7 linked regions of the Coturnix japonica genome follow. The protein of the gene in region 7 binds, or shares a complex with, the protein of the main gene of each other region. Links are inferred from orthologs where the notes say so. Each region holds a gene or a part of one and is shown on either strand. Other genes may lie near its edges. The genes, in order: TAF5, TAF13, TAF8, TADA2B, TAF12, TAF11 and transcription initiation factor TFIID subunit 4-like.

Evidence for each region.
Region 1: transcription initiation factor TFIID subunit 4-like (region 7) and TAF5 share a complex: the UniProt entries of both Homo sapiens proteins name them as parts of the TFIID basal transcription factor complex. The link is inferred for Coturnix japonica from reciprocal best matches to the Homo sapiens genes TAF4 and TAF5.
Region 2: transcription initiation factor TFIID subunit 4-like (region 7) and TAF13 share a complex: the UniProt entries of both Homo sapiens proteins name them as parts of the TFIID basal transcription factor complex. The link is inferred for Coturnix japonica from reciprocal best matches to the Homo sapiens genes TAF4 and TAF13.
Region 3: transcription initiation factor TFIID subunit 4-like (region 7) and TAF8 share a complex: the UniProt entries of both Homo sapiens proteins name them as parts of the TFIID basal transcription factor complex. The link is inferred for Coturnix japonica from reciprocal best matches to the Homo sapiens genes TAF4 and TAF8.
Region 4: transcription initiation factor TFIID subunit 4-like (region 7) and TADA2B share a complex: the UniProt entries of both Homo sapiens proteins name them as parts of the TFTC-HAT complex. The link is inferred for Coturnix japonica from reciprocal best matches to the Homo sapiens genes TAF4 and TADA2B.
Region 5: the proteins of transcription initiation factor TFIID subunit 4-like (region 7) and TAF12 are in contact, whole or in part, in a crystal structure (PDB 1H3O), measured with the Homo sapiens proteins. The link is inferred for Coturnix japonica from reciprocal best matches to the Homo sapiens genes TAF4 and TAF12. Residues at the interface, in NP_003176.2 of Homo sapiens: Phe872, Leu873, Leu874, Pro877, Leu878, Arg880, Arg881, Ile882, Ile885, Gly886, His889, Gly890, Ile891, Thr892, Glu893, Leu894, His895, Asp897, Val898, Tyr901, Val902, His904, Ala905, Thr906, Gln907, Gln908, Arg909, Leu910, Gln911, Leu913; in NP_001128690.1 of Homo sapiens: Val57, Leu58, Thr59, Lys62, Leu63, Leu66, Val67, Glu69, Val70, Glu74, Met83, Leu84, Ile87, Ala88, Asp89, Phe91, Ile92, Glu93, Val96, Thr97, Cys100, Ala103, Arg104, Ser108, Ser109, Thr110, Leu111, Glu112, Val113, Lys114.
Region 6: transcription initiation factor TFIID subunit 4-like (region 7) and TAF11 share a complex: the UniProt entries of both Homo sapiens proteins name them as parts of the TFIID basal transcription factor complex. The link is inferred for Coturnix japonica from reciprocal best matches to the Homo sapiens genes TAF4 and TAF11.

Annotation. Positions count from the first base shown.
Region 1 is NC_029521.1:20,666,063-20,669,886, reverse strand, and holds part of TAF5 (transcription initiation factor TFIID subunit 5), read right to left. Parts: intron 3,601-3,824; coding exon 3,285-3,600; intron 2,627-3,284; coding exon 2,463-2,626; intron 2,022-2,462; coding exon 1,886-2,021; intron 1,404-1,885; coding exon 1,283-1,403; intron 576-1,282; coding exon 446-575; intron 1-445. UniProt on the Homo sapiens protein: The TFIID basal transcription factor complex plays a major role in the initiation of RNA polymerase II (Pol II)-dependent transcription.
Region 2 is NC_029516.1:74,708,946-74,713,539, forward strand, and holds TAF13 (transcription initiation factor TFIID subunit 13), read right to left. Parts: upstream 2,884-4,594; 5' UTR 2,778-2,883; coding exon 2,751-2,777; intron 2,659-2,750; coding exon 2,580-2,658; intron 2,491-2,579; coding exon 2,393-2,490; intron 1,065-2,392; coding exon 894-1,064; 3' UTR 446-893; downstream 1-445. Other genes in the region: GTPBP8 (GTP-binding protein 8), read right to left, coding at 4,487-4,571. UniProt on the Homo sapiens protein: The TFIID basal transcription factor complex plays a major role in the initiation of RNA polymerase II (Pol II)-dependent transcription.
Region 3 is NC_029541.1:4,766,287-4,770,899, reverse strand, and holds the start of TAF8 (transcription initiation factor TFIID subunit 8), read right to left. Parts: upstream 2,823-4,613; 5' UTR 2,799-2,822; coding exon 2,535-2,798; intron 1,581-2,534; coding exon 1,424-1,580; intron 1,121-1,423; coding exon 1,022-1,120; intron 803-1,021; coding exon 740-802; intron 390-739; coding exon 265-389; intron 1-264. UniProt on the Homo sapiens protein: The TFIID basal transcription factor complex plays a major role in the initiation of RNA polymerase II (Pol II)-dependent transcription.
Region 4 is NC_029519.1:72,523,652-72,528,001, forward strand, and holds the start of TADA2B (transcriptional adapter 2-beta), read left to right. Parts: upstream 1-1,291; 5' UTR 1,292-1,338; coding exon 1,339-1,608; intron 1,609-1,988; coding exon 1,989-2,981; 3' UTR 2,982-4,350. Other genes in the region: CCDC96 (coiled-coil domain-containing protein 96), read right to left, coding at 1-727, 838-1,233. UniProt on the Homo sapiens protein: Coactivates PAX5-dependent transcription together with either SMARCA4 or GCN5L2.
Region 5 is NC_029538.1:2,033,201-2,036,081, forward strand, and holds the end of TAF12 (transcription initiation factor TFIID subunit 12), read left to right. Parts: intron 1-509; coding exon 510-587; intron 588-877; coding exon 878-992; intron 993-1,163; coding exon 1,164-1,252; intron 1,253-1,815; coding exon 1,816-1,851; 3' UTR 1,852-2,301; downstream 2,302-2,881. UniProt on the Homo sapiens protein: The TFIID basal transcription factor complex plays a major role in the initiation of RNA polymerase II (Pol II)-dependent transcription.
Region 6 is NC_029541.1:4,152,867-4,157,121, forward strand, and holds TAF11 (transcription initiation factor TFIID subunit 11), read left to right. Parts: upstream 1-1,245; 5' UTR 1,246-1,358; coding exon 1,359-1,550; intron 1,551-1,626; coding exon 1,627-1,757; intron 1,758-1,865; coding exon 1,866-1,953; intron 1,954-2,291; coding exon 2,292-2,388; intron 2,389-3,423; coding exon 3,424-3,554; 3' UTR 3,555-4,161; downstream 4,162-4,255. Other genes in the region: ANKS1A (ankyrin repeat and SAM domain-containing protein 1A), read right to left, coding at 731-951. UniProt on the Homo sapiens protein: The TFIID basal transcription factor complex plays a major role in the initiation of RNA polymerase II (Pol II)-dependent transcription.
Region 7 is NC_029526.1:9,324,301-9,328,124, forward strand, and holds the end of transcription initiation factor TFIID subunit 4-like, read right to left. Parts: intron 2,085-3,824; coding exon 1,917-2,084; 3' UTR 335-1,916; downstream 1-334. UniProt on the Homo sapiens protein: The TFIID basal transcription factor complex plays a major role in the initiation of RNA polymerase II (Pol II)-dependent transcription.

The sequences.
Region 1 (3,824 bases), on a different chromosome or scaffold from region 7:
ACAGAGGGGCTGCAAAAAAGAACTAGTCTTCACTTAAGAATTACATTCACATGCGGGGGGAAAAAGCAGTAGATTGCTACACTATATTACTTTAGAATAATCTTAATGCAACTCTAAACTATATGGTAAGATTCCCTGAATGTGAACTCGGTATGAAATCTTTTTCTTAATTATTAACAAATTATGAATAGACTCTCTATATAGACTATAGGCTGTATATAGATTCTATAATCATGTTCCACACAAAGCTTACTTCTCAGCTGTATTTCTGTGATGGTTGTCTCTTGTGTAGCTTACATAATGTTTTCAAATCTCTTATTTTAAAGAAGATACAAGAGTTACTTTGATCTTCTGGTAAAAGCCGCATTATAAACACGTTCACATTCATAGCACACTATTAAGATTCAACACAAGCGAACTAATTAGCTTGTAAACTTTATTTTACCTATCAGGACTGAAGCTGGTGCCATAGACAGGTCCACTGTGACCGTATAAAATCTTCAACTCACTTGCAGTTTTCTCATCCATGATCCTCTCCAAGACATCGTCTGATTCTTTGTCAATTAGACTGAGGTCTGCAAGATTTCAAAAGTTCACACATCATGACAACTGTCAGAGGTTCATCAAATGCCATGAAAACAAATAGCATTTTCCCCAAAAGCAATAAAAAAACTCATAAACAAAAACACCTTGAAATAGGTAATGGTGAAATATAAACAATGGCACTTAAAATACTTCTACCATTGTAAAAGGTGGCAATAATGCTTTATGTAAATAACCACTCTTTAACAAGTCTTCATAACAGATAAAACCTCATAAAAGATAAAATCCTGAGGGGTTTATTTTTTAGCCTCAGGACACACTTCTTGAGATGACAAATTTCCATGCCTTTTCCCAGGAAGTTAATACGGCACAAACACACTTTGCAGATGTTCTGACAGCTTCCCACTACACACAACTTAAAACAGCTTTCAATCTGTAGGCTACTATTTGCTGAACACCACAAGCACTTTTTGATTCAGCACAATGACTAAGAACAGTTCACTCGTTTGTAGGCTGCCCAGCAGTAGGTGTACACAACCAGATACCTCATTCCCTTAAAGATATGTATTTCTATTTGTAGTTACAAGACACAATTATACAGCCGTGCTCAATGTTTCTTCAAAGTAACAAGATGCAGCTGCTCAAAACAACTCTCCCAATAGACATATTCTTCTGTTCACACAAAACACACATAACACAAACAACACACACTCACATTACATTTTTTTTACTTAATTACCTGCTGCTGCCTTCACACTACGTAGCTTTTTTGGAGTCACGGACCACACTCTGACGGTAGAGTCAGCAAAGCCTCCTACAATCATGCTGGAGTCATCTGTAATATCTACTGCAGTTAGACCCTATAGACAAAATAGCCATTGATGTTGTTTGTATTTTTCACAGTGTATTTCAAACACTACCAAACCCTAAACACTAAAAAGAGAATTAACTATGCTCATTTGATAAAAATAGAATAGTTTGGACAAACACTTGCTTGAAATAAACACACACATTCTTGCACCACGAAAAAGAAAGATATATAAATGAGGCGTAGTTAATGATGACAGAGCAGAACTGCTTCCCAGTATTTTGGTGCAAACTATCTACTGTATTCTGTAGAGTAGGGTCACATAGGAAAAGTGAAAGAAAGAATTAAGGTAAAATCAGAGCAAACCCAAGGAACTTGGAAATTAGTTTAATGAAGTCTATAAATAAAATTTTGAACGTTCCAAATACTCTGATAACCAACATTAACTCTTCAGTCTTCTTTCTTTATTAAGAGTGAAGTTTATCATTTTGACTCCCTCTTTCATGTTGCCCAAAGTCTTTTTTTTTTACCAACCTGATAAGCATTAAGGAATGTGTAGAAGCAGATGGAAGGCAGACACTCTGGCCCAAGACGCACACGTCTGGCAGCTTCCTTCATGTTCATCACTTTATCCAGTTTATCTGAGTCTTTCAGTTCGGGCAGAGGAATTCTAGAAGCACACATTTTTATGAACTTTCCATATTGTCAATTTAAACAGAGAAAGCTGAACCTTCCCATGCAACCCTACACCTCAATATTCAAATATCAAAATAAATTCAGAAGAATGAAATACTGTGTAAAAGATTGATGAGAAAAAGAAGCAATAGCTTTATGAAATCCAGACAAGTAGTGAAACAAGGTAACTAATTAAGTATGGCTTGAAAAGATGAGACAGTAAGCAACTAAAATCAAGGGAAATCTAGATTGATGTGAAGGGCAAAGACAGAAGGCTACATGCTAAGGTTTGCATTATCCCCCTTGAAATCTTACAACTAAAGCTGTCTACGGCTGAAATGGACAAAGAGCTAAAAACATCATGTGACCAGCACTGCACATTTAACATGGTAATACTGGATTTAATAGAAGTTCCCTACACATCCTCCCTTGGTACCTGTTTTGAGGAGGAGCATTAGGGTCTTGTTTTTTACTTTTTGATCCTACACTGTCTCTTTTAGGTTTCTTCTTCTTTGGTTTTCCTTCCTCGTTTTCTCCTTCTTCATCTTCATCATCCAAAGGCACATCGAACTCTGGTTCTTTCAATAAGCCGAAGAAAACCTGCAAGCCAATAAAAGATGTATGACATAATGGTAATTTTTGCTCTTACTGAAAACTGATTTTTCATCAGACTCCAAACATTAGTCGGAAAGGGATAGTTCTACTAAGTTGAACATTACTGCATTCATTACTGATTAGCCTGGCACAAGTGTAAGACACGTTCTACTGTTTTAGCCAACAATTGACCTGGACAACTGTGAGTTCTCCCACCACCTCTTAGTTCTTCCCTGAAGCAAAATCCCTACAACTTCCATAATTTATTTGTGTAGCATTGCGGTACTGCGCTATTGAGATCTACCCAACAGCCTTTGCAATAATAACTGGAAGTGAGAACTATTGCTGCTGTACTAGAGAGGAAGCGAAATGGGTCAATGTTAAAACTAGACAACAAAATCATGAGTTTAAATCTAGTTCAGCAAACAGAATATAGCATTGTCTCTCACAGTTCCTTCCACCAGTCAGTGACACATTTTCATTTCTCTACTACTGATAACATCTATTTGTACAGAACCTTTATTTAGTTCATGTTGTCTTTTAAGATATCAAGTAGCAATAATCATATATAGTATGATTATATACATATAAACAAATATAGTACTTCCTGAAAAACTACTCTCAAAGCATTCAATAATAAAGAGCAACATCCTTTTCCTCCTACCTTTGCTTTATTTGCCTCTCGTTTTGCCTCCCCAGCCAAGCTTCCAACCATAGCATCTATCTGTTGTTTGCTACGGGGCATTCCATCAAATATATCAATGTAGAGATGTTCCTGAACAATGTTCCAGATCTGGTTGTTCTGCTTTTCCTGAAGATGCCTCTTCAAGAGCTGGTAAGAGTCACGGGAAATACGCAGAACGAACTTGCTTGTTCGGAAATCCAGCATGGTCTCATTACCTTTCATGTGTTCTTTTTTGGTTAAGCTGGATAATACACGGAGGTCATCTTGGTAATAACATTCCTGATCCCCATGAAATCTATTGAAACAATTTAACACGTGGGAAGAGATTCATTAGGAAAATATTATCTCCTAAGTGCACACTTAACTAGATAATTTTAACGTGAAACACAGTGGGTTCCAAAGGGTCCTCACAGAACTACATATGGAATGAGCTTTCTGCTTAAATAAATTTTGTTCCCAAGGAATCAACAACTTACAGCACACAGTAAAATTAACCAAGAGTTCAAAAAAACAAGATGA
Region 2 (4,594 bases), on a different chromosome or scaffold from region 7:
TGGAGCCCGCAAGAGTAAACTTATCTGTGAACAAGTCCCCCAGTGTCCTGAAGTCTTTTCAAGTGTGCAGTTTTTGCCTGCTTGGCAATGTGTAGCTATTCCAGCACATACTTATTCCTTGCTCTAACATTATTTCACAAGCTTAGTGCTTTCCATCGAGCTCTTATTTGTAATTACCCGGTGATCCTAATCTTGTGAAAAAAGTTCTTTGAATTAAGTCAGATCAGTTTTATAGTGGAGCATCTGCCCAACAGGGGCAAGGCAAGGATCTGAGTGCAACTAAATCTGGAACAGGTTAATTTCAGTTCTCTAAGTGTACAGTAAAAACAGGAGAGCTGTGTCTACTAGGACAGAAACAGCACTTAGAGCTCATGAGATGCTACAATAGCCAACAATTTTTATGTGCCCTGCGTTAACTGATCAGTGTACGTGTAGTTACGAAGAGTGGGCACAGACTCGAGTTGCTTTATTCAAGTTTATGTACAGAGCAGAATTTGTAATAGTTTGGGCTTGACAACTTTGTCCAGTTAACCAACATCTATTTTCCAGGTTTCCTGTCAACAAAATACCTCGACATAACCAAAGTAGAGAAGAGCTTGTCATGGGCCTTGTAGATTCCCAATTCAGCTGTCCTACTGCAGACTTCTCACCTTTAAAATATCTTTAGAGCTCATTTCTCAAATTCCCATAATGGTATAAAAACACGTTAGGAGCGCCATGTGTAATCAGTTAACATCTAGCTGTTTGAATGCCTACCACAAGAGGCTGAGAGGCAGAGCAGATAGCAGCAATGATCTCCAGCTCAAATAACCCCTCAAAGCAACACACATGACATTTCTTCCTCTTGAGCAACAGGAGCCCACAGCACGCTCCAGTCAAGCCTGTACACAGAATCAAGATCCATAGTTTGCTTCATCAAAGGCCTTTCTGGCACGTTTCAGTTCTTCATTCATAGTCAGAAGGTCTTTAACTCTGGCAAACTTCCGGGGGTCCTTGCGGATTAGGAAGACAATGTCCTCAACCTGTACACGGCCCTGCCGTCCAATTGACATGGCTTTGTGTGTCTGCAAGAGAGAAACATCAGTGTTCCTCTGCCCCTTTTAGTTTTGTTTTCAGATCTCAATCCTACTGTATTTACTGACATTTTAAACAGTCTAGAAGGCAGCAAGTGCAGGATCTGGGCATTGCCATCCAAGTGCAGTACCTCATATACACTGGGTACCACTGCACACACAACAGGAATGTCTTTGGAACTGAAGGCAGACTGGGGAGGGGACACCTGATCTGCAAAGTGCTTGAGGAGCAACAGCATCAAGCAGAATCTGCATGCAGTATGCAATACCTGCATCAGAGGACAGTTTTTTTCTATTGAGAATAGGCAAGGCTAACTTCTCATGAGAAGGGATCCACAAACAATACCACTTTTCTTATTCTTTTTTTTTAACATAAGTGCTCAAGTTGTATCCAAATGTCTGGATCAGCAGTGGCTTTAGGGCCCAGATGGCTGCATTTATTTTATGGTGTGGCATTTCCATCTGTGTAAAGGCACTGAGAGAACACAAGAAGCACATAACATTTCAAAGCTGAGCCATCTGTCAGCAGAACACACAGCGATGCCACTGGGTGCCTCAAAGTCAGCTATGGATTTTTTCCCCTAACTGTTACTTAAAGCCTCCGAACGTTGCCCTAAATCCATGTGGAGTAAAATGTGTTAATTCTATCTTAATATCGGAAGGGCAATCACAGAATCACAGAATGACCCGGGTTGGAAGAGACCTCAAGGATCATGTAGTTCCAACCCGCCTGCCTGGCAGGGCCACCAAACATACACCTTTACTAGATCAGGTTGCCCAGGGCCCCATCCAACCTGGCCTTGAACACCTCCAAGGACGGGGCATCCACAAGCTCCCTGGGCAGCCTGTTCCAGGGCCTAACCACTCTCCTAGTGAAGAACTTCCCCCTAACATCCAACCTCTTATATCTGAGTTTAGATTTCTTCCCAGCAGCACACGAGTTTTTGCCTGGGATAATGCTGAAGGAATTTCATTGAAGCAGAGGGAGCCAAAGCATGCTCCCTACACCAGGTTGCACAGGTAGGAGTCCGAGTGGGTCTTGAACAGCTCCAGGGAAAGAGACTCCATAATCACTCTGGGCAGCCTGTTCCAGTGCTCCGTCACCCTCTCCATGTAGAAGCTCCTGCACACATTTGTGTGGCTCCATGCTCCAGTTTGTGGCCATTTCCCCTTGTCATATTGCCACATGCCGCTGAAAAGAGTCTGGCCTCATCCCTTTGCCTCCCACACCTTAGATATTCACAGACATTGATCAGATCCCCTCTCAGTCTTCTTTTCTCAAGGCTAACAGACCCGTGTTTGGCACACCACTGACTTACCATTTCAGTGATAAATTCTATCACCAGGTCCTCAAGAATATCCACAGATTCCGTGTAAGGGTTCTGGTCATCTCCAAATCCGTACATCATGCATCTTACTGCGGGAATACACACAGCGTGAGGCCTCCATCTGCTCAATGCATCAGTAACGCTCCCACCCTGAGCTCCCCCCCCAACCTGGACTCACGTTCTTTAGAGAAAAGCCTCTTCCTCTTGCCCTGCCCGCCGTCCAAACCGCCGCCGGCTTCCTCGGAGTCCTCCTCGAACTGAAGGAACAAAGCGGAGGAAGGAAGCCGTTAAACGGGGAGCTCCCTCCCGCCCCGAGGCTGAACGCAAACAACCCATCCCCGCCGCTCACCGGCGCGTCCTCCTCCTCGTCCGCCATGGCCGCCACAGCCCGCTACCGCTTCCGGTTTCCCGTTCCCGCCTCCCCTGGGGGCCGCCATCTTGTTGTGCCGTGTCTATAGCACCCAGGCTGTTTCCCACCCCTCACTCATCTAGTGTGAGAAATGCCTTGGGAACTTAGGCTATTCAAAAGATTTTTTCCTTAGGAAGACGAAGGAGAGGAAGAAAAAGGTGCAGCTGAGGTACAGGCACTGGAGAAACAAAACTTTACTGGACAGCAGAGTCAAGAAGAATCTATGGAGCACTTGCTTAATTCGATTTTATTTATTGCCACATCTGTCACAGAGCTTCCAAATCTTGCACATAACAAACTGAGGCCTTGAAGATAACAGCTTGGACTACACTGATGCTTTTGAAAGACACTGGTTTTAAGATACAAACACACAATTATTCCCAAAACATTGACTTGAGTGTTTTCCACCTCTCTAGATCCTACTGTATTTATTTCTAGAATCAGACACTCACAGGCCAGTTTGCTTTGGTGCATTTTGGGATTAGAAGCAAAACGGTAGCATGACATGCTTGATCTCTGCTTACATGTAGAAACTGGAGATCCACATCTCCCTGCTGGTTTCTTCATCCTGCCACTTCCTACATATCTGCTGGAAACAAACTTCAAGCCTAATCTGAGAGTTACAGGACATTCCTTAACGTAACAAACAGTAGAAACACCACCTTCAAGCCTCAGAGTGGGTTATGAAAGAATCACTTTTCCTTGAGATATAAACATTTAATGTAAGTTAACCTCAGCAACTGTATACGCAGAATTGGCAGTCTTAAGACAGGACAAGATGTGTGCCAGAGTGTGACACAGGCACTTTATTAGCTTTGGTCTAAATTGCTGTGTACAACTACTGCTATTTAATGGCAGTCCTTTTTGTACATTCTGTACCAGATGTGGTTTCCCTTTGACCTTAGCCAGGTACAGTGGCTGCAGGACCTCTGTGTTGTGCTTCAGCTCCCAGGGCAGGACAGATGTAGGTAATGGACCCATCTCTGGTAACTGAGCTGAGCGCAGCTGCAGAACTCACGTGGGATTTAAAACAGAAGGTTCATGCAACACTGAGTGATGATCAAGTGCAGGAGGAGAGAGTTCTGCTAGGTGTTGTTCATTCATCACCACTGTTTCAAGCCAACAGCCAACCAGGAGGCAGATCCCATAAAGTAGGTTTCCTTTTCCACATCTGCCCGTAACAGGGACAACCAGATGTAGACAAGCAAGGCATGCCATGCTATCACGCTGAACCTACGGAATGCACAATGCAGAGGAGTTACAATAGTGAAAAAAATACAAGTTTCCAAAAAGCTTTTTGCAAACAAAGCATTGACTGTTTTCACTCTGGACAGCCTTAGAGCAGGCAGGGTGCCCATACGCTCATTTAAACTGCTAGGTGTCATTCAACTCAACAAAGCAAGTACCTGGCTTCTCTCTGGAGGTTCTCTGATTATTTCTTTTCCCTCCCTTGACACAAACACATAGGTTTTGTGTAGTACCCAGGATTCATTCACAGTGATTAAGAAGTTTATTAAACAAAAAGCTCGCCTTTACAAACATTACTTTAGCCAAAAATTTATAAAAGTTTATCCAAAAATAATTGTGGTGCTTCAGGTTCTTACAACAACAATCCAGACCTCTGGTTTTGGTACCTTTTGTTCCAGATGAGCTGAGCAGATCAGGAGCCAGACTTCTCAACTGGACTCTACACTAGGCAGGTTTCCAGTAACATGGGCTACAAAACACCTTAGCAAGTGGACTCCCGAAAACTCCACAGAACTGTGGAAACAAAGGTATGATGT
Region 3 (4,613 bases), on a different chromosome or scaffold from region 7:
ACTAGATTCAGTGAAGACAGATCAAGTTCAAAACACTAATAGGATGCAGGCAAGCACTGACCTTCAACATGTGCACGTTTTCAAACAGCTACAGATATCAGCTATAAAACTAGAGCAAGTACAATATGCAAATGACAAGCATTGTGCCAAGGTAGCAGAAACAATGTTCAGGAACAGCACTACAATAAGAATGCACATGCACCTTTCCTAACATTACTGACTTCAGACAGAAACCAAATGGCACAAAAGTCTTTTTTCACTCACTGGTGTCTTGATGTAGGTGTGAGGATCTGGAAACTCAGGGAAATAGCCAGGGATGTGGGATGGATGTGGCTTGTTCTGTCCAGCTGTCAGGGCTTTGGGAGTCACGGGCTGATTTGTCACAGGAGCTATGGTTAAAAAAGCACATGCACTACATGAGCATATGACACAAGCAACAGTTTCAGGTTGTATTTGGCATCCCAAAAGGGAACAAGGCTTACATGACCCCTCCTACACAAGGAGAACCACCTTGAGGATTCTCATGTGCAATGAGGATACTGAAGCAAAAGCAACAGGTTTGGCAAAGGACAGACACTCTCCTTCACCTACTACATCATAATTACAGGAATCTTTAACACAAACTGAGTGCCCCGGAGCAATGGACTACACCATCCATGAGAAAAGCAGCAGCTCTCTGGATGCCAGCAGATAGAAAAGACAAATGGTTTCCTGCACAAGAAAAGGACTTCTCACATACGGGCAGTGATCACCATCCTCTGGGAGCGCTTTGCATATGCAGGAAGTGTTTCAACATTGAACCCTGAAATACAGAAGAAGAGAAAAATGGAATCACACCAAGAAGAAAGAAAATAATGTACTCTGTGTGCATACACACTACATCAACAGCAGTGATACTGGAGCCTCTGTGTGCAACCCAGAACAGCCGACATCACACAACTACACCAGGAACAGACTGTCATGGCAACACAGAACACCCACTGTATGTATGTGGAATGAGTGAGATGAGTCAGCTACTCACCCATCTCCACTAAAGTAACAACTATGTCAGACAGCGTGGGCTGTGTTCGGGCTGTATGCTCACAGTAGGACTTTGCACTCCTTCCAATTTCAGAAATATCTGGAGGGGAAAAAACCACCAACAACCATTACATGTTCATTTTATTTTATTCACATTCCATGTTCATTTCAGGCAGCAAACACACATTTGTGTCAGCACAACACCTGACTTTTGATCAAATCTAGTGTCATGGTTTTATGATTTTTGTTATTGTTATTGCACATCATAACATCATGGAAAGCACCGGGAGTTAAAGAGTTAAAACAAAACCAAACAAACAAACGAAAAACAGAAAGAGCGAAAGCAAATGTGAACCGATTTCAAGGTGATTTTGCCCTAAATCTGGTGGCACCCGACACTCACAGCTCTGTAACATCTCTGTCAGTGTTTCCACCGCAGCCTTCTCAGCGCTCTCAAAGCCGGCTTCAGTGAGCAAGGAGCTGACCACCACCTGCAGTGTCCTCCTTCGGGCCAGGTAGTAGTTATCTGCTGGCGTGGTCGTGTGCTTGCTGCCCGACCGCTGTGGACACAGACCCCAAAACACTGAACCTGAGCCCCAGACGAGCTGCCAGCACTCGCTCTGTGCTCACACATTGTCCCTGCACACATCACGGGTGTACATACACAGCACCTACCTACACACAGTACAGACCCACCTACACAGACACACATGTACAGACATACACACATGAGGACTGCTCTGAAAGTAATGCCTCCTATTTCATGATGTCGACATCAGGGTTAGATGTTGGAGGCGGGGTAAAGGCTGAACCTTCCTGCCAGCATTGTGTACATTACATTGTGTACATTACATTGTGTACATTACATTGTGTACATTACATTGCTGTGTGACAGGTGGCAGCAGCTGGACATAACGGTGTGTAATGAAGGAGTGTGAATGAAGCACAGAATCACTGTGTTCCTGGATGAGGGCAGATGCTTCTGGAGACAGAGCAGCCGCTGTGAGCACAGTGCGGCGTGTTCCAGTGATAACAGTGGGTCACTCCAGCAGTATGAGTGCAGCATGCAGCTCTTCTCCAGTGCCAATATGGGCAATGGTGGTGACCGTGTTAAACAGCAGTGCTTTCCAGATGTGCAAACACCTGATCACACAGTATGATTGTGCTGTACCTGCTGCAGCTTCCATGCGAATAAATAGGAGGCTTTACCTTAGGAGCGCCCTACAAGCAGTGCCTGTCCATACTCATATCCCCATATTTACACACGTTCCCCCATAGTCGCTCTGTCCCTTTAAACGCTGCATCAGAGCTCGGACCAATCACAGCTTGCCGCCAAGCCCCGCCCCCACGCAGCCATGCAGCCAATCAGCGCCTCCCTCCGTTCAGCTCCCCCTTAAAGCCGCCGCGCTCAGCCCGCAGCCGTTAGTGTCCCGCTCCCGGTGCAGGCCGCGCCGCTCCGCCCGGAGGGGCCGTTCCCACAACGACCCCGCGGCCCGACGAGGAGCCGCCGTTACCGTGCCGGAACCGCCGGGCGCCGTGTCGGCCATCTTGGAGCCATAGAGCGCTGTGCGCATGTGCGGGGCGGTGGGGCCGTGCGGCGAGGCGCGCGTTGCACTGTGGGGGCTGTAGGCGGCTCCAACATCCCCCACAGCCCCGCGGTGCGACCGGGACGGGACAACGACGGGATGGTGATGGGACAACGATAATGGGACAACAACGATGGGACGGCGATGGGACAACAACGATGGGACGATGAGCTCCGGTAACGGCGGCTCCATGGCGGGGCAGCGGCCCGGCCCGGCAGCGCTGCACGATGCCCCGAGAGCTGCGAGAACCTGCAGCCCCGCCCCGCGATGCCGGAGCCGTGTGGAGAGTAAACAACAGCCAGGAGCGGGACGGGACCGGGCAGCGGAGCTGGTGGATGGTGAAGGTACGAGGCACATAATGGGTGGATGGAGCGGGGAGCTGCTGCCATAGTACGGCCTGGGCCTGAGCTGCCGGTGTGTGAAGGTGCCGTTGTTGTGGCGGTGTCAGCACCCAGCTCTGCTGTGCCCGGCGGGGTCGGTCCCTCGCTGTGTTCGGGGCTGTGTGTGCTGTGCTGGCTGCTGGAATTGGTGGCAGTGATTAACGGAGTGTGAGGGAGCACAAGGAGCTGGGAATGGAAGCGCTGTGTGTGGTGGAGCTGTGACCTGCTGGTTGATTGTGGGGCGGAGTGATGTGCGTTATATGGAGGGATGTGGCAGCTGGGAGCTCAAAGCAGCCGAGTGAAGCTGCTGAGAACAGGCTCAGGCTTCATGTTGGGTGGCTGCATTACTTGGTTTATTCACACGTGGGAGCTGTTGGATAAATGAGATCCCAGCCCTGTGCTGCCCGGTTGGTTTTCGTTGGCTTTGTGGGTTTTTTGTTTGTTTGTTTTACTCTTGGGAATACTTTTCCCCCATCCCACAGTATCATACACTTCAGAACAAAGCTGTTTCTTTGTACACAGGGTGTCTCTGAGGAGGGGGTAGCAGGGGAAGCCCTGCAGTGAGGGCTGCTGGGTGCTCTAGTTATTGGTGCAGAGCACTGTGTTATTTTGGATTCCAGTCCTGGCTGCATCCAGCCTGCTGAATAACCAGACACAATCTCTTTGCTCCTCTGCACGTTTTTTCCCATCAATAAGTACTGCCATGCCTTGTGAGCTGCTCTCAGAACTGATAAAGTGCACCCGCTGATGTTACAGTACATAACATAACATTGGTGGTGGTGTCAGCTGGAGCCCTTGGGTTCTAACCAGAGCACTGCAGTCCCTTCTAAACTCAGTTACAAACTGAAAATCCAGAGCCTGGTGGAATTTTCCTCAGCTAAATATGTGCAGAAGTCCCTAAAATCACAGGTGCTGCATCCTGTTTTATGGCACAGGTACATCATTCTGTTATGCATGGCTTCCGTTTGCCTGGCAGGGTGGGAGTGGGAAATGCTTCCATAAAGGTCTGGCTGCTCAGTGATGTCGGGGTTTCTTGTGTGTCTGTGAAGCAGCAGCTGCTCGCAGCCACCGGAGGAGACTGGCCAGCCAAGAGGAAAGGGGTGAAGTGAAACAAGGAGAGCTTCAGGGCTGTGCTGAAAGATGTTGCCAGGGATCTGATGTGGAAGGGAAGGAATCTGGAAGCGAGCAGAACCATGCTGGCTGTTCGTGTCCATAGGTGGAGGGTGACATCCTTATTTTGGAGCCCATGTGGAGTGGGAATCGATGTTGCTGCTGGAAACGTTTGCCAGTTTATGGTGCCAGCTTCCTCTGCAGTGCTGTGAAATCAGTCAGCTGGCAGCAAAACAAGGAGATGTGGGATGGTGGGAGTCTGTGCGCCTTCCTGAGCATGGGGTTTTTTCCCAGAGATTGGAACGCTTCCTTTTGCAACAAGAAGAACTTTCAGATCGGTCTCAGACTGAGAAAGGAAAGAAGCTCACGTGTTTTTACAGAATTTCATGCAGATTATTTCAAAGAAGATGTAGGAGGTGGGAATCCCAAGTCCTTATTGTGTCACCCCAGACAAACATTAAACCTCAGAGAGCTACAGCTGAATAGTTATTCTCATACTGACGGTCCCAGGGGGGAG
Region 4 (4,350 bases), on a different chromosome or scaffold from region 7:
CCCACGCGGCTCTGGCCCTGGCCTCGCTCTCCTCGCTGTCCTTCTGCCGTTCGTCCACCCGCAGCTTCCAGCTCTCTGCCTCCCGCTCCCTCCGCCCCCAAAGCTCCCGCAGCTCCCGCAGCCGCTCCGCGAACAGCTGCTGCCCGCCCGCCTCGTCCGCCCGCCGCTCGCTCCGCTGCGGCCTCAGCAGCTCCGCCAGCAGCAGCTGCAGGCGGCTCTCGGTCTGGTGCAGCCGCTGCCGCTCGGACTCCAGCTCGCGGTACTCGGCCAGCAGCTCGTCGCGCTCCCTTTCCTCCTCCTCCTCGGCTTCGTCGCGGCACTCGGCCTCCTCCGCTTCGCCTTCGGGCTGCGGGGGCTCCGCAGGCTCCGTCGGGCCCTCGGGCTCCTCGCTGTCCTCGCTCAGCGCGTCGCGTTCGCTCTCGGAGACTTCGCCATCCCCGGGCTGCTCAGCCGGGGGCTCCTCCAATACCGAGGGCTCCTCCAATACCGGGGGCTCCTCCAATACCGAGGGCTCCTCCAATACCGGGGGCTCCTCCAATACCGGGGGCTCCTCCAATACCGGGGGCTCACTCAATACCGGGGGCTCCTCCGGCGTCGACGCCGGAGGCTCCTCGGCCGGGGGTTGCTCCAATGCCGGGGGCTCCTCGGCCGGGGGTTGCTCCAATGCCGGGGGCTCCTCGGCCGGGGGTTGCTCCCAGATAGCCGGGGCTCCTCGGGCCCCGGGTTGCTCCAATCCGGGGCTCCTCGGCCGGGGGTTTGCTCCTCAAAATGCCGGGGGCTTTCTCGGCCGGGGGTTTTGCCCAAGCCGGGGGCCTTCCTTCGGCCCGGGGGTCTTGCCTCCCAATGCGGAGGCTGCCTCCGGCCGGGGTTGCTCCCAATGGCCGGGGGCTCCTCGGCCGGGGGTTGCTCCAATGCCGGGGGCTCCTCGGCCGGGGGCTCCTCCGTTGCCGGGTTCTGGCCGTTCCCGTCCATGTCTCCTCCCGTTCGCTTCCCCCGTTGCCCGGGTGACTGCTCTGCTCTGTCCCGGCCCCGCCCCTTTCCCCGCCCTCTCTCCCCGGCCACCACTGAGCGGCAGGTTCGCCCGGGGTCACGTCTCCGATTGGTCGCCCGAAAGGCGGCAGGGCTCCGCTCGGCCAATCGCAGCCTCTCGTTCACACGAATCCCCCCCGCCAACGGGCGTTTCGCCCCCATTGGCCGCGATCCGGAGGGGCAGCCCGAGCTCTCGTCACCCATTGGCCGCCCGGCGCGAGGCTCCTCCCGGCGGGAGCGCCGCCATTGGCCGCGTGTGAGCGGGGGCGGGGCCGCGCGTGCGCGCGGGGAGGCGGCGGGCGGGGTAAGATGGCGGAACTGGGGAAGAAGTACTGCGTGTACTGCCTGGCCGAGGTGAGCTCACTGCGCTTCCGCTGCACTGAGTGCGCAGACATCGAGCTCTGCCCCGACTGCTTCTCGGCCGGAGCCGAGATCGGCCCGCACCGCCGATGGCACGGCTACCAGCTGGTGGACGGCGGCAGATTCACCTTATGGGGCGCCGAGGCGGAGGGTGGATGGAGCAGCCGGGAGGAGCAGCTGCTGCTGGACGCCATCGAGCAGTTCGGGTTCGGAAACTGGGTAAGGAGAGTAAGGGCTGTAAGGGTGCGGGGCATCGAGCTGCTCCGAGCTCGGCTGGTCTCTATGTGCCTGTCCTGTGTAGCGCTGCGCTCTGGGTACAGGATTTCTTCCTAACATCCCCAACTTCAGTATCCCTGCTTTCAGCTTGAAGCCGTGCCCCTTTTCTTTATTTATTTCTCTATTACTTTCTTTATTTCTCTGTTGCTCCAAAAGTAATGCTGTAAAACAGAACTCTGGCAGGTGACACATTGAGCTCAGGGACTCAGGAGCCATCGTGGTGTCTTGTGAATCAGTTTTTGAGGGGCAGGGAAGAAGGAGCGAGTGCTGTGCTGGAGGTATAACGGGAACCTTCTTATTGCCCCTCCTTGTTTTCCATTTAGGAAGACATGGCCGCTCACGTGGGAGCATCCCGGACACCCCAGGAGGTGATGGAGCACTACGTGAGCATGTACATCCACGGCAACCTGGGCAAGGCCTGCATCCCCGACACCATCCCCAACAGGGTGACGGACCACACGTGTCCCAGCGGGGGGCCTCTCTCCCCCAGCCTGACCACGCCGCTCCCGCCCTTGGACATCTCGGTGGCTGAGCAGCAGCAGTTGGGCTACATGCCGCTACGGGACGACTACGAGATCGAATACGACCAGGATGCTGAGACACTGATCAGCGGCCTGTCAGTGAACTACGACGATGATGACGTGGAGATAGAATTGAAAAGAGCTCACGTAGACATGTACGTAAGAAAACTCAAGGAGAGGCAACGGCGGAAGAACATTGCGAGAGATTATAACTTGGTGCCGGCCTTCCTGGGGAAGGATAAGAAAGACAAGGAGAAAACTCCCAAACGAAAGATCACGAAAGAAGAGAAGGAGTTGAGGCTGAAACTGAGGCCTCTGTACCAGTTCATGTCCTGTAAGGAGTTTGAAGACTTCTTTGAGAACATGCACAAGGAAAGGGTGCTGCGAGCAAAGATCCGGGAGCTGCAGCGGTACCGGCGGAATGGGATCACCAAAATGGAAGAGTCGGCGGAATACGAGGCAGCCAGACATAAACGGGAGAAGAGGAAGGAGAACAAAAACATTGCCAGCTCCAAGAGGGGGAAGGAGGACGGCAAAGAAGGGGAATTTGCTGCCATTGAAAACCTGCCTGGTTTCGAACTCTTATCGGACAGGGAAAAAGTGCTTTGCAGCTCTCTGAATTTGAGTCCTGCGCGTTACGTGACTGTAAAAACCATCATCATTAAAGACCATCTTCAGAAAAGACAAGGGATTCCTTCCAAGAGCCGCCTCCCCAGTTACCTGGATAAGGTACTGAAGAAAAGGATTTTAAACTTTCTAACAGAGAGCGGTTGGATATCCAGAGACGTGTCATGAGGCCCATCCATCTGAGCCACCGCATCAGAGACCTGACAAGTTCCCTTCCTTTTCCTGCCCTCGCTGGAGATACAGAAATTATCTCATTCAAAACAGACAAACAAAAACAAAAGAAGCAAAAACAACCCCCCCCCCCCCCCGCGGTGCTTGTGGGCTGAGCTCCCAGCACACTTTTGCTTTGGGTCATGAAAAACCCTGAATTGTGAAACTTCTCCATTCGGTTGCATTACTCGTTAGAGTACACTGTTGTTACATTACTCAAAGAGATTGCTTTCATGTGAGCCTACTCAAGTCCGATGGTTCTGGGGTGATCACTTCACTCCTTACTGTTGGATCAATGTCAATGTCAGCCATAATCTTTGCCTTTTATTTTCCTTTTCTTTTTGTTTTCGGAGGTGAGAGCTGGTTTTCAGCAGCTGAGTTCTTCTTCTCCCTGATGTTTTTTGTCACAGTGATGGCAGCCAAGCAGAGCTTGCAGAAATCCTGAGCTGTCAGATGTGGGGTGCAGGGATTGGTGTGGCCGTTGCTGAGCTTTTGGAGCGCTGCCATTAGCACAGCCCAGGTGTCAGGATGTGGGGTGAGAGCTTCCGTGGGGTGCAGCGCTGGTGAGCTGTGATGGGGGTTGGTAGATGAGGTGCCTGCAGGTATTTGTGCTGTGTGTGAAGGCTTCTTGGAGAGCTGCCTGACCCAAGTGTAAGCTTGGCTGGGCAGCTGTGTGCTCTGCACTGGGCTCAGCACTGCAGTGAAGTGTTTGGTTCTGGCCAGCTGTGGCTTAGAGCGGGCAGAATGCTGCCCTGGCAACCTCAGGTGGTGAAATAACCTCTTCCTTTTGCAAGGAGAACCTGCTCTTCCTCTCCTGTTTGTTGTGCCCAGCATGTGTAGCCTGAGCTCTTGCAGCTGCCTCCTGAGAGCTGCTGGGAGGGATGGGGACAGGGAGCTCCGTTCTGAAGCTCATAGCGGCCACTGAGATTGGTTTGTACAAACTAAAAAGGAAAGTATATAGATGACAACGCACAGCTCTGTGCTCCTGGAGTGCAGAGCGGTGGATGCAGCCGTCGCAGCTTTCTGGCTGCATGTACCTCCAAACCTTCTGGACTAAATGTGCCGAAGTTTCCGCTGTGGTTGGCAGAATGGATCTCGGTTTGCCGCAGTGGCCACTTTGGTGTTGTTGTGTTGTCAGAGCTCTCTGAGGGCTGCGCTCCCTGCCACACAGGGCTGGAGTTACAGAGCAGCAGAACACAATAGAAACACCTCACCCACCCCACTGTATTAGTAGTATATACCGGTTAAGGGAAAGGTGTTCAAGGAGGAGCAGAGGCGGCCTTTCTTTATCGTCATTTCATTCTTAGATTCCTGTGCTGGCATCCAG
Region 5 (2,881 bases), on a different chromosome or scaffold from region 7:
TCCTGATCTATTCACATATTTGGGCTGATAGGATGCTGCCTTCTGCCCTGCAGTAATCCAGCACTCACGTGTGGCCGTTTGCCATTTGAAATGCTAAAGGTGATGAGCTTTAGAGCAATGGGAATGCTTCCTTTGTGTCCTGAACACAAAATTAGTCGCTGGAACGTTGCTTTAAAGATTTCTCACTATGTCTTTGTCCTCTCTTGCCGTCAGCCCCGCTTCAGACAGGGGCATTTTAGTGCTGGTTTAGCACAGGAGAATTAGTCCTCTTAACCTGCTGCGCTCTGCTCACTCTGCTTTCTGTTCAGAGCAGCCAGTAGTGCTTGAAAATGACTCCTTAGCACCTGATGTCTCTTATCTGCCCTTCCTGGGCTGATACCACGTGTCAACACGTGTGACTTGTGTCTCTGCTTTGTAAGGGAGGAGGTCTTTTGTGGCTGTGCAGGGTGGGCAGTGATTTGCTAAAGCATCGCAGTGAACGGTTCCAATTTTCTCTCTCACTTACTCAGGTTTTAACCAAGAAGAAATTGCAGGACCTGGTGCGTGAGGTGGATCCAAACGAACAGCTCGATGAAGACGTGGAGGAGGTAGATACCAACCCATGGCAGGGGCTGCAGAAAGAGCAGCTCTGGGGTTTCTCACAGCCCAGTGACCCTTTGCCCAAAGCAGGGAGGGCTGGTTTATATTACACTGCCTTATTCTCACGTTCATTGCAGCCTTCAGCCATCCATGTCTCTGCTTCCCAGTGTTCAGAAAGGCTTCAGGGAAGCAAAAACACCCTTGAAACATTATCTTCGGAGGGTTCATTTTCATACATTCTCATAGTTTCAGCTGTTGGGTGCTGCTGAGACCTCTTTTTGTCCTCGTTCTGTGGCAGATGCTGTTGCAGATTGCTGATGATTTCATAGAGAGCGTGGTGACAGCTGCCTGCCAGCTCGCACGGCATCGCAAGTCAAACACCCTGGAAGTGAAAGATGTCCAGTTGCACCTTGGTAAGGAGCTTTTGCCCTCACCTGAGAGGTGGGTGCACAGCCCACTGCTGGGGTGACAACCCATGAGAAGACTCACTGCTCTCACCATAAAGGAATGAGGGGATAATCTGCCCCTAAACCCATCGTCTCCAGGTGGGTTCAGTGCTCTGGCACGTGCTCTCTCTCTTCCAGAGCGTCAGTGGAACATGTGGATCCCGGGCTTTGGTTCTGAAGAAATCAGGCCCTACAAAAAAGCCTGCACTACAGAAGCTCACAAACAGGTAAGGAGCCCTTAGGAACGTGCTGAGAATTGCATGGTAGAAGCCTTATGTAGGTAATGTGCCCTTGGACTCCTGGTGAATCCGTAACCTCTTCTGAGTGGAATTGCAGGTCTCAGCTCCCTACCACCATAAGGTTTAAGAGCATGCAGTTGTCTGTGATTTCAGCTGTGACTGCAGCTGGTTTTTTTTCCCCCCTTAATTTTGTTTTAACTGCATCAGGCAATTGCTTTTGAAGCATAAGGCAGGAGGTTCCCTGCAGGAGCTGTTGGAGTGCATGGGTGTTATTGCAGCTCCTCCTGAAGCTCAGATGGGCTTCAGTCCCTCCCCTGGTGCTGCTGCTCTCCTTTATCACGCAGCCTTTACAGCCTGGGGGGCAAATTGGGGCAGCGCAGACGTTTCCTTTTCCTCCAAGACTCTGAGATTCAAATGAAGTTGACAGACCTGTGTGGAAACAAGCCGGGCAGTGCCCTGAGAGAACCCGAGATGGGTTGTTCTGCACATCTGCTGTTCAGGTTGCATTGCAATGATCCGAGACTCAGCTTCCCACCTTCTTCTCCTTGCAGAGAATGGCACTGATCCGTAAAACCACCAAGAAGTAGAAGTGGGAGAAGAGCTCGGAGCTGCCAGCGGTGCATTTTGGGATCTCTGCCTCTCACTGCAGCCTCTGCGACGCCACCCATGGGATATTATTTGTTCGTGCTTTACAGAGAAGCATCTATTTTTTATTGACGGTGCAGCAATATCTGAGTCGATGAGGAGATCTGCCAAAACCATCCTGTTCCTTGTTCTCCCCCTTAAGAGCGCAGCGTATCTCAAAGCAAAGACTTTTATTTGTGACTTGAAAGTGGTTTATCATATAAGTGATTATCTGAGGGACAGAGCATTTGATTGTGTGTATGTGTGTGTGTGTGGGACAGTATTAGAAGCAGCTGTAGAGGTTTTTGTTTCCTCCTTCATACCCCTCCCTGCTCCCGTACTTTGTAATGTCAGTGTTTATATAAAAATACTTGCGTTTGTTTTACATGAATAAAGAAATTATTCATCTAAAACCAGGGGAAAGAGGCAGCTGTGGGGTGAGCCTGGTGTCTGTGCGTGAGATCTGTGCTGGACTTTGATGGTCTCTGCTCTGTGCTCACTGCATCAGGACCTGCTGTGGCTCAGCCCGTTTGGATGCAGGCAGGAGGGTTGTGTTGGCCAAGGGTAAGAAATGAGTGTGTTCTGTTTCCCTGGGGCATGAAGAAGGCTCACAGCCCAGCATCTGCTCTGCCCACACTATATGCATCAGAGATACTACAGCTGCTGTGGGATGCAGTGGGGAGGGAGGGCAGCTCTGCGGGCTCCCTGCAAAGAAAGGGAGGTTGTGGATGCTGCTGCCTCAGTGCAGAGCTCACTGCTGGGGCTCGGGCTACCGGCACCCGTGGGTGAAACCCACTTTGTTGGTAGGTGAGGGCTCTGTCCGTGCACTAAGTGCAGCTGGGGCAGGTCTGACCGGTGCTCGGGAGGGAGAGGCGGCTCCTGGGGCGCAGAGCTGCCGTCTGTTCCCAGGGTGCTGCCCAAAGCGTGGCCTGGTGCTGCAGGGCACCGAGCTGAGGGAGCTCCCTGCTGGAGAGTAAACAGGTTTTGGGACCC
Region 6 (4,255 bases), on a different chromosome or scaffold from region 7:
CATCCCATCCCCTTCATGCACTCCTTTTGACACACACAGGCCCAGACCCCAGGGGCAGCAGTTCTCCATTTACAGTACAGATACATTCATATCCCACTGGGCTCCATCCCACACCATGCCATGGGAGCTCGGACAGCCCCTGTCCCACAGCCCTCCCACCCATACATTCCACCCAAGCACAGATTCCAACCCACAGCATCCCCTGTACCACAATCCCTTCCTCACCCCAAGCACACCAACAGCCAGTCTCAGAAGCCCCAAAATCCCAGCTCATCATTACAAACCCACTATCCCCACACATCTTGTGTCCTCAACAACGCACCCCTATCAACCCCACAACCCCTACACCCACACCTCACCTCAAGCAGCACAGTCCAAGTCTCCCAGCACCCCAACTTCAAGTCCACACACCTTCAATCCTTCTCCACAGCCCTACAGCACCCCAACCCCATGCACCCCACAGCTCCTATAAATCAATGCTCACCTTGAGAGCCTACAAACTTCACACACTGCATCCCCCACAGCCCTACTCTCCCCTCAGCTTTCACCCACAGCTCCCAGCCCCAAACTACCCCCTGTGGGGGGCTCCTACCCCACAGCCCTCACCCCACAACCTTCCCCATCCTCCTCACCCCACAGCCTCAGCCCTGTACCCACCTCTAACCACAGCTCCCCAGCTCCATGGGCCCACCCCTCATAGCCCCCATCCCCCTCATTGCCCCCCACTCACCTCAGCAGACTGGACAGCGGGTGTCCCACTCCTCCACCTCCTCCTCCACCTCCTCCACCGCCGCTTCCACCACCTCCACCGCCCCCGGATCCTCCTCCGCTCCCTCCTCCGCTTCCCCCGGAGCCGAACCCTGAGCTCAGCCGTTTTCCCGACAGCAGTTTCTCCACAGCGGGCAGGTTCCCGGTTCGTGCGGCCTCCAGCAGCTCCTGCTCCTTCCCCATGGCCCGGCCCGGCCAACGCCGCCGCCTCCCGCCAGGCCCCGCCCCGGAAGAACGCTGAGGGGGCGTGGCCTGAGGCCGAGTGGGCGGGGCCTGAGGGGCCGTTTGTTCTCTATTGTGGGCGCGGCCTAATAAGTGGGCCTGGTCTGCTGTAGGCCCCGCCCCTGGTGGATCTATATTCTCATCCCATTTCTCTTCATTATCAAATGGAACTGATACAAAATGACGCGTAGAGCCCGTCAGCACGGCTATAGATGGGGTGGATCCCACCCTGCTGTGCCGGGTCCACACGCAGCTCACAGCTCTGTAGGCCGCACGGCGCTCAGCCCCGTCGCCATAACGACAGCAGCGCCCCCTGTCGGCCACCGTAGCGTGACGTCATCACCAGGCGACCGTAGAGACGAGGCGTAATGGCGGATCCCGGTGAGCCGGGCCGGGAGGAGCGGGGGGGCGGCACCGAGCGGGAACCGGCACCGACCGCTACATCACCACACGGCGGGGATGGGACCATGGAGGAACCGACGGCCACGGACGGGGTTATAGAGGGGGACATGGAGGCTGGAGCCGGCCAGGAGCTCAAGGCGGAGGCGGCGGATGGGGAGGTGAGGGCTCAGCACCGGGTCGGCCGGGAGATGAGGAGAGAACGGGGCCGGTCCATAACGGTGTGTTGTATCGTAGGGGAGGAGCGGGGACGGGATGGACGGGGAGGATCCGAACCTGCAACAGGCGGCAAAGAAGGTGAAGGTGGAACTGAAGGAGAGGAAGGAGAAGAAGCACAAAGTGGACGAGGATGAGATCCAGAAGATGCAGTGAGTGCTGGGGAATGGGCTGCGCTGCAGGGCGGGGTTAATGGCCATGAGCAGCATCAGCATCGTTTGTGGTTCAGCTCTGTGAGTGATTCGTCCTCTCCCTTCCAGGATCCTGGTCTCCTCCTTTTCCGAGGAGCAGCTGAATCGCTACGAGATGTATCGCCGCTCTGCCTTCCCCAAGGCTGCCATCAAACGGGTACGACTTCAGTTCGTGCTTCAGCACAAAGCAAACGGCTCAGCCTGGCCACAATACCCCCCCCCCAACCTCCCCTCCCCAACATGGCTGTGGGGGGACAGCGATGCAAAATAATTGCTAGCACTGATCTGTAGCTGAATCAAACTAATCTCAAATTGTTACAGCTACCATGTGCCCAAAGCTATAGGAGCTCATTCCAAAGCTCTGTTACTGTTGTTTCTGCTCATTTTGTTCACTGGTGCTCAGTATTTGGCTCCAATCACTAAATATAATTTGAAGTGTTTCAGTGTTGCTGCATGTACCTCATTTGACTGACTGCCTGTTCTTTGCTTGTGCAGCTGATCCAGTCCATCACGGGCACCTCTGTCTCTCAGAATGTGGTTATTGCCATGTCTGGCATTTCCAAGGTCTTCGTTGGGGAAGTGGTGGAGGAAGGTGAGCAAATCACATTATTGTTCAGTAAAAAGTTAAGGACACAGAGAGCACATCGCTTAAAGCAGAGAGACATGAAACAAAGCTGGACTTTTGTGGCTTCTTGTCCAGGTGTGCAGCCTGGACAGTGCCCTGCAGGGCCCTCCTGCTTTCAGCAGCAGCAGAAGACAACTGTTAAAACTTGGGACTTCTTGCCCCTACATGAGCAGGCTGCAGTGCTACAGCAAAGATCTCATTAATGCTACTGTGGACAAATTCAGCTTAGAAGGGAAATGCGTTATTTAAGCCTCTTAGCCTGCAAGATTCTTTGTTAATGCAGTGAGCTGAGATCTCCTTGGGATAGACTGTGCAGCGCTGACCCAGTTGTGTCCCTGCTCATGCAGAGGAGGAAAAGATTCTTGTTTTTTGTGCCAGCCACTTAGTACAGGCTTGTCACACAAAACACACAGCCTGGACTTGCAGGGGTTGCCATCAGCCAGGATGATGCAGCTTTTGGCACTTCTGCTGCTTTGACTGTGTCTGCAGCTCTGTGTTGCCAGAGGCAGTCTGGATAAGCAGCTTCTCTGCTGTACTTATTGCTTCGTGTCCTTGGCAGGAGATCTGAATTATACTTAACAGAAGTGAAGCACAGGAACTGCCCTTTAAGTCAGCTGTAGGTGGTTCCTTCCTCCTATCCCTGCTGCACACAAGTCCCCAAACATACTTCACAAGCTAGAAGTGGTTTTAAAGTAGCAGGTTTAAGATGATGAGGCCTTTTCAAGCTCTTGCATGACTTAGTCTATTCCATAGCAGCTGGGACGTGGTTACAAAGCAGCTGATTCTGAGCTGGTATTGATGCCTCAAGGACTAGTTTTTCTTCAGAGAAACACCCAAAGCTGTTTCATCCCTTTGTACAGATAAAACATGAGCTTTGAACACTGTTACCTGTTGACTTTATAATTGAAGTTCAACCAGTGGGAGGCTTTTCAAATGTCTCCTGCTGGGAGAATGGCAGAGCTGAGCTGTCCTTGTTCACGTCAACTCTTGTCCTTTGTTTAGCACTGGATGTGTGTGAGAAGTGGGGGGAGCTGCCACCTCTGCAGCCCAAACACATGCGGGAGGCTGTGAGGAGGCTCAAGTCACGAGGACAGATCCCGAATTCCAAATATAAAAAGATCATCTTCCACTGAAGTGTCCTGGGATCAGCAAAGAGAAGACAAGTTCAAACAAGCTTTGGTTGTGCACCATATGACAGTTATGAGACAGAAGCATTCCCCTCTCCCGCTTGCAGTCTTCTCCAAGGAAGCTGTACCAAAGCAAGCTCAATTCAACGTGGATTTCAGTAACTTCAAGCATCGAGGTCTTATGTGGATTGCTTTCAGTTTACAAAACTACCATGAGTGTTCTCAGCACGGCTCATGGGGCAGAAGGACAGGGAGAAATGCTGCAGCAGAACCTGCAGTTGCTCCCATTAAACTCCCTGCCAGCAGCAGCACATTGTGTGCAGACATTCATGTAGGCATCCACGGGGATGTTTCCTGCAGTAACTGCTGAAGGCCAGTTTGTCAGCTTAGTGCTGTGCAGGCTCAAGGAGGAGGCAGATCCTTGGCCTGGTGCCTCAGGGTCCTCAGATCCAGCAGCCTGGGAAAGGAACATGCAACGTCCTCAAGTGTATTTACCCACCAGCATCGTCCCTTCTGCTGGCACAGGTGCAGTGTTGTCTCTGTACAGAAGCATCTTTTTTTTTTGTACATTAAACTTGTTACTATATTCTTAGTCTCCCTGGGACAGCAAATACTCATTGTGTAATTGTGTTTGTGTGATTCAAAGTAGGGAGAGCGCGCTGCGATCTGTCTCAACCAACCCCAACATGTCCAAGGAGCTTCACGCC
Region 7 (3,824 bases):
CTTTGTTCAACTCCATGGCACTGCTCTGCTCCCAAGTCTGAAAAGAAGTGGAAGAAAGTTATGTTGTGCTTATTGGACCGATTGCCCTTGAAAAGGCAACTGTTGAGTGCATTCATTCACTGCATTAATAGCATCGAGGTTTGTTGACAATTTTATTAGATATTTGACAAAGGATAAGAATCAGCACAACAAAACATCGAAGTATTTGGTTTTAATATTTCTTTGTGGGTATCCTGTTAATATTTTAATGCAAAATGTTTCTGAACAGTGCTTAAGAACTACCAGACAATGTGAAATTCATGTTTGATAAATTAATGCTATGTCACTCGATGTGTTACTTTAGTAAATTGTTTTATTTCTTTACAAAATAAGTACAAATAAGGGAGTATGTTTTCACACAAATTGGGGGTATTTACGAGTATGTACAGAAATCATCAAAATAACGTAATTCTAATAAACACAAGGCCTTTATAAACAATATGTACAAATTATCAATACATTTAAAACATAATTTTACACTTCCTGGCCTTAAATACCTTATGAATAATCTTTTGGCTAAATAGCAGCAGTATAAATTTTCTTCTGCTTTTCATAAACCTTAAAAAATAATTAAAACTTTTGTTTTTAAAACTATTGGACAAATAGTTCTATTTGTGCTTTCGCTACGGTTTCCCATTAAAAACAAAAAAATATTGCCTCAAAAAAGTGGCAAGCATAATGTAGTAAAATTGAAAAGATAAATAAGCAAATGTCTCCCTTCCACAGCCACCGGTAATACTGTCACATCTCAAGCACGACTCGTGCCCACCTCCTTGCTGAGCATTCCTGTCCAATTCCCATTTGAAAAGACTCACTAACTTTGCTTGGCTTTGGTGTTGGCCCTGGAAAATCCAATTCAGCAAAGCGTTTGAAAAGCATTCATCCCGCCATAAGAACTTACACCTACCCATATGCTTAAAGGCATGCACTTGTTCATGAGCCTCTCTGGACTGGAGTCCTCGGGTCCAATCGTCCACGGCAAAGCACCGCCGGTCCCCGCAGCACCAGCCCCCGGGGCACACCCGGCTCTTGTGGCTGCCAAGAGGGAACCGGACCCCAAAAGCTTCCTTTACAGTTACTCGAATAATCCATATAGGATACTCTAAAATCTTTCCCAAACAATACTCTCTTTTATAACCACCACTAAACCATACTCTGTGCAATAAATAAATTAAGATATTTTTAGAAAATAAAAGGATTCATGTTACTAACCAGCTGCTACAAATGTGCAAAAGGTTGAAGAGATTCAGAAAGCAACAGGAAGCTTGGTGGACCTCAGTTGGGACCCGAACACACAGATTTCATACACTTAGGATTTGGTTTAGCAAACGGCTGAAGGAATGCACTGTGCTGTAAAAGCAAAAGTCCTAAATATATCAAATGTGTGACAGCGTGCACTGGTTATTCTTTTAGCTGTGCAAAAAATTGCAATCAGATCCAATCTAACAGGTATTGCCATGGTTAGTGGAAACAGCAAACCCTAAAGGAAAACCAGCACCGCTGGTGAACACAAAGATTAACCCCGTTCAGGTCCCAGTCCTCCTGCCCATGACATCTAATCTATGGCAGCCGCTGAGGCATTTATGTAAATCAATGCCATCCATGTTAGCCTTATCTAATGTGGCCAAATGCAGTCAGCCTTTGGAGTTGGTTACATCTGCAGACTTAACGTTTTAAAAACTTTTGCACATTTTTTTTTCTTTTTTTTTTTTTTTCTTTTTTTTTACATAAAGGGAATTTATTGCATGTGTCTGCCAGTTTTACAAAACAAAATTACCAGAACATTGACTTCTGAAAAAAATAGAAGGCACATTAAAATGACAGCTTTTCAATGCAAGTTGAACTTCTGTATGGAGAAATCAGTACAATTCTTGGCTTTACTTAAGCAGAGCTCGATAGAGCAGGAGAGAACGGCTCGTTTCTCTTTCCTGTTCCATGTAGAAGATGAAGTCCCTGAGGTTTACTCGCGTTATTTTCTGTCGTGCATACTGCCTGGATGAAGGAGTCCCCAAACCAGCCTGACCTCCACCGGAAATACTGAGGCCCTACAAAGAAAACACAGCAGAGTTCAAAGTCCTGCAACAGTCAGGAGTTTCCTCCAGCCACCACCTGCTGGATTATTTCAAATATCTCACATGTATTATGAGCCTCACTCTGAATGTATTACGTAAGACTTGCTTCTACTTCTGAGTCTCACCAAGTAGATTGAGTACAGAAACAAGTGGGAACAAGCACATGGGACAAAACTAGACAGTACTTGTTTACAGCACAGGACAAAGGTACTGAAAATTCTCCTGCTACAGTCACATGAACCACAGATGTATTAGGGCTGTATAATGTCAATAGCATTTCTGGGACAGAACTATATGCAGTAGATGAAACCTTTAGAACATCAAATGTGTGCTCCACATCCTGCATCTAAGGCTGGAACAAGGTGAGTGCTGTATGGGTGAGTACATTGCTGCTGCCATAAGCTGCAGGTCCCACACATGCCCAGATTCCCTCCTCTGGGTGTCCTGAAGAAAAAGGTTTGGTGACACTGAACCATCCTGGTGAGATGGACAAATCATGGAGAGCAATCACAACAAAGACTCAGACACTGTAAGATGATGGAGACAAACATAACTGTACTGCTATGTAAAACAATGATAAAACTTTGTTTAAGTTGGTTTGAAGCTCCTGAATCACTGAATAACTCATCCTGGTCTTTCCAATAAGTTTCTAATACCTTTAAAATACCAGGCCTACTTACTGCTGCTCTTAACCTACCTTTCTTTCCCCAGGAAATACTTCTGCATGATCTCGATTTCAGCCCTTACAAATACGATTCAGCGTGACTTTAGTACTGAAAGGTTATGGGGAATACATGTATGGTACATTGTGAGGAGGAGGTGACACTTTTCTCTATTGCTTTTCTGCTCACCAGCAGAGCAATACTGCTCGATACATTTCCCTCATATCTGATTATTAAATTACAATAGTGGGTCAAATCCTATTTTAACATAGCCTTACTGTAGTTAAATGAATGCTGCTAAGCTTGGAGGCAAGAGAAGGAAAAGCCCACAACCTTTGAGCACCACAAGCATTTGATCTTAGGGATTCTGGTCTTTAGTATGAAGTAGCTTTTGCTAACAGATTAATTGATTTACCACCCAGCCTCATCGCTCATAGGAAAAGCATGTGTTGCAGCTGCAAGGGTTGCTCATCCATGCTGAAGCCAGACATCTCCCCAGTGCATAATCCATTTATTAGCAGTGCTCTGAATTTATTCAGCCTTTATGCTAAAACACATTGCATTCCCAAATGGAACAGCATCATTCCATTCTCCACCTTCCACAGGTTTGGAACAATGCCCCACCTTAAGCTGCCTCTCATCCCACTCTGTTTAGCCAGGGCTGTTGTGACTAATTCCAACTTTCCAAGGAACGACCACCTGGATGCTTATTTTAATTAAACAGTCTTAAAAATATTTCTCTTTTTTCTCATCCTCCTACACACTGAATCTCTCCCCCTGCCCAGCAACACTTCTGTCAGATCTGAGCAGCAGCAAACACACAATGCGACCACCAGCCACCCTAAACTCACACCACGAACTCATCAGATACCACCTGCAGCTCACTGACCCAGAAGCACCAAGTACATGCTGCAATAAGCCTTTAAAAAAAAAATAATAATAATACCTTTTATATTAAATTTTCTTCATCTAAAAATATTCTTTTAATTGTTGAGGTACATATAAATCCAATAATTGCTTTGTATTTGTTGGGCTGAGCAGCTGGAATTAA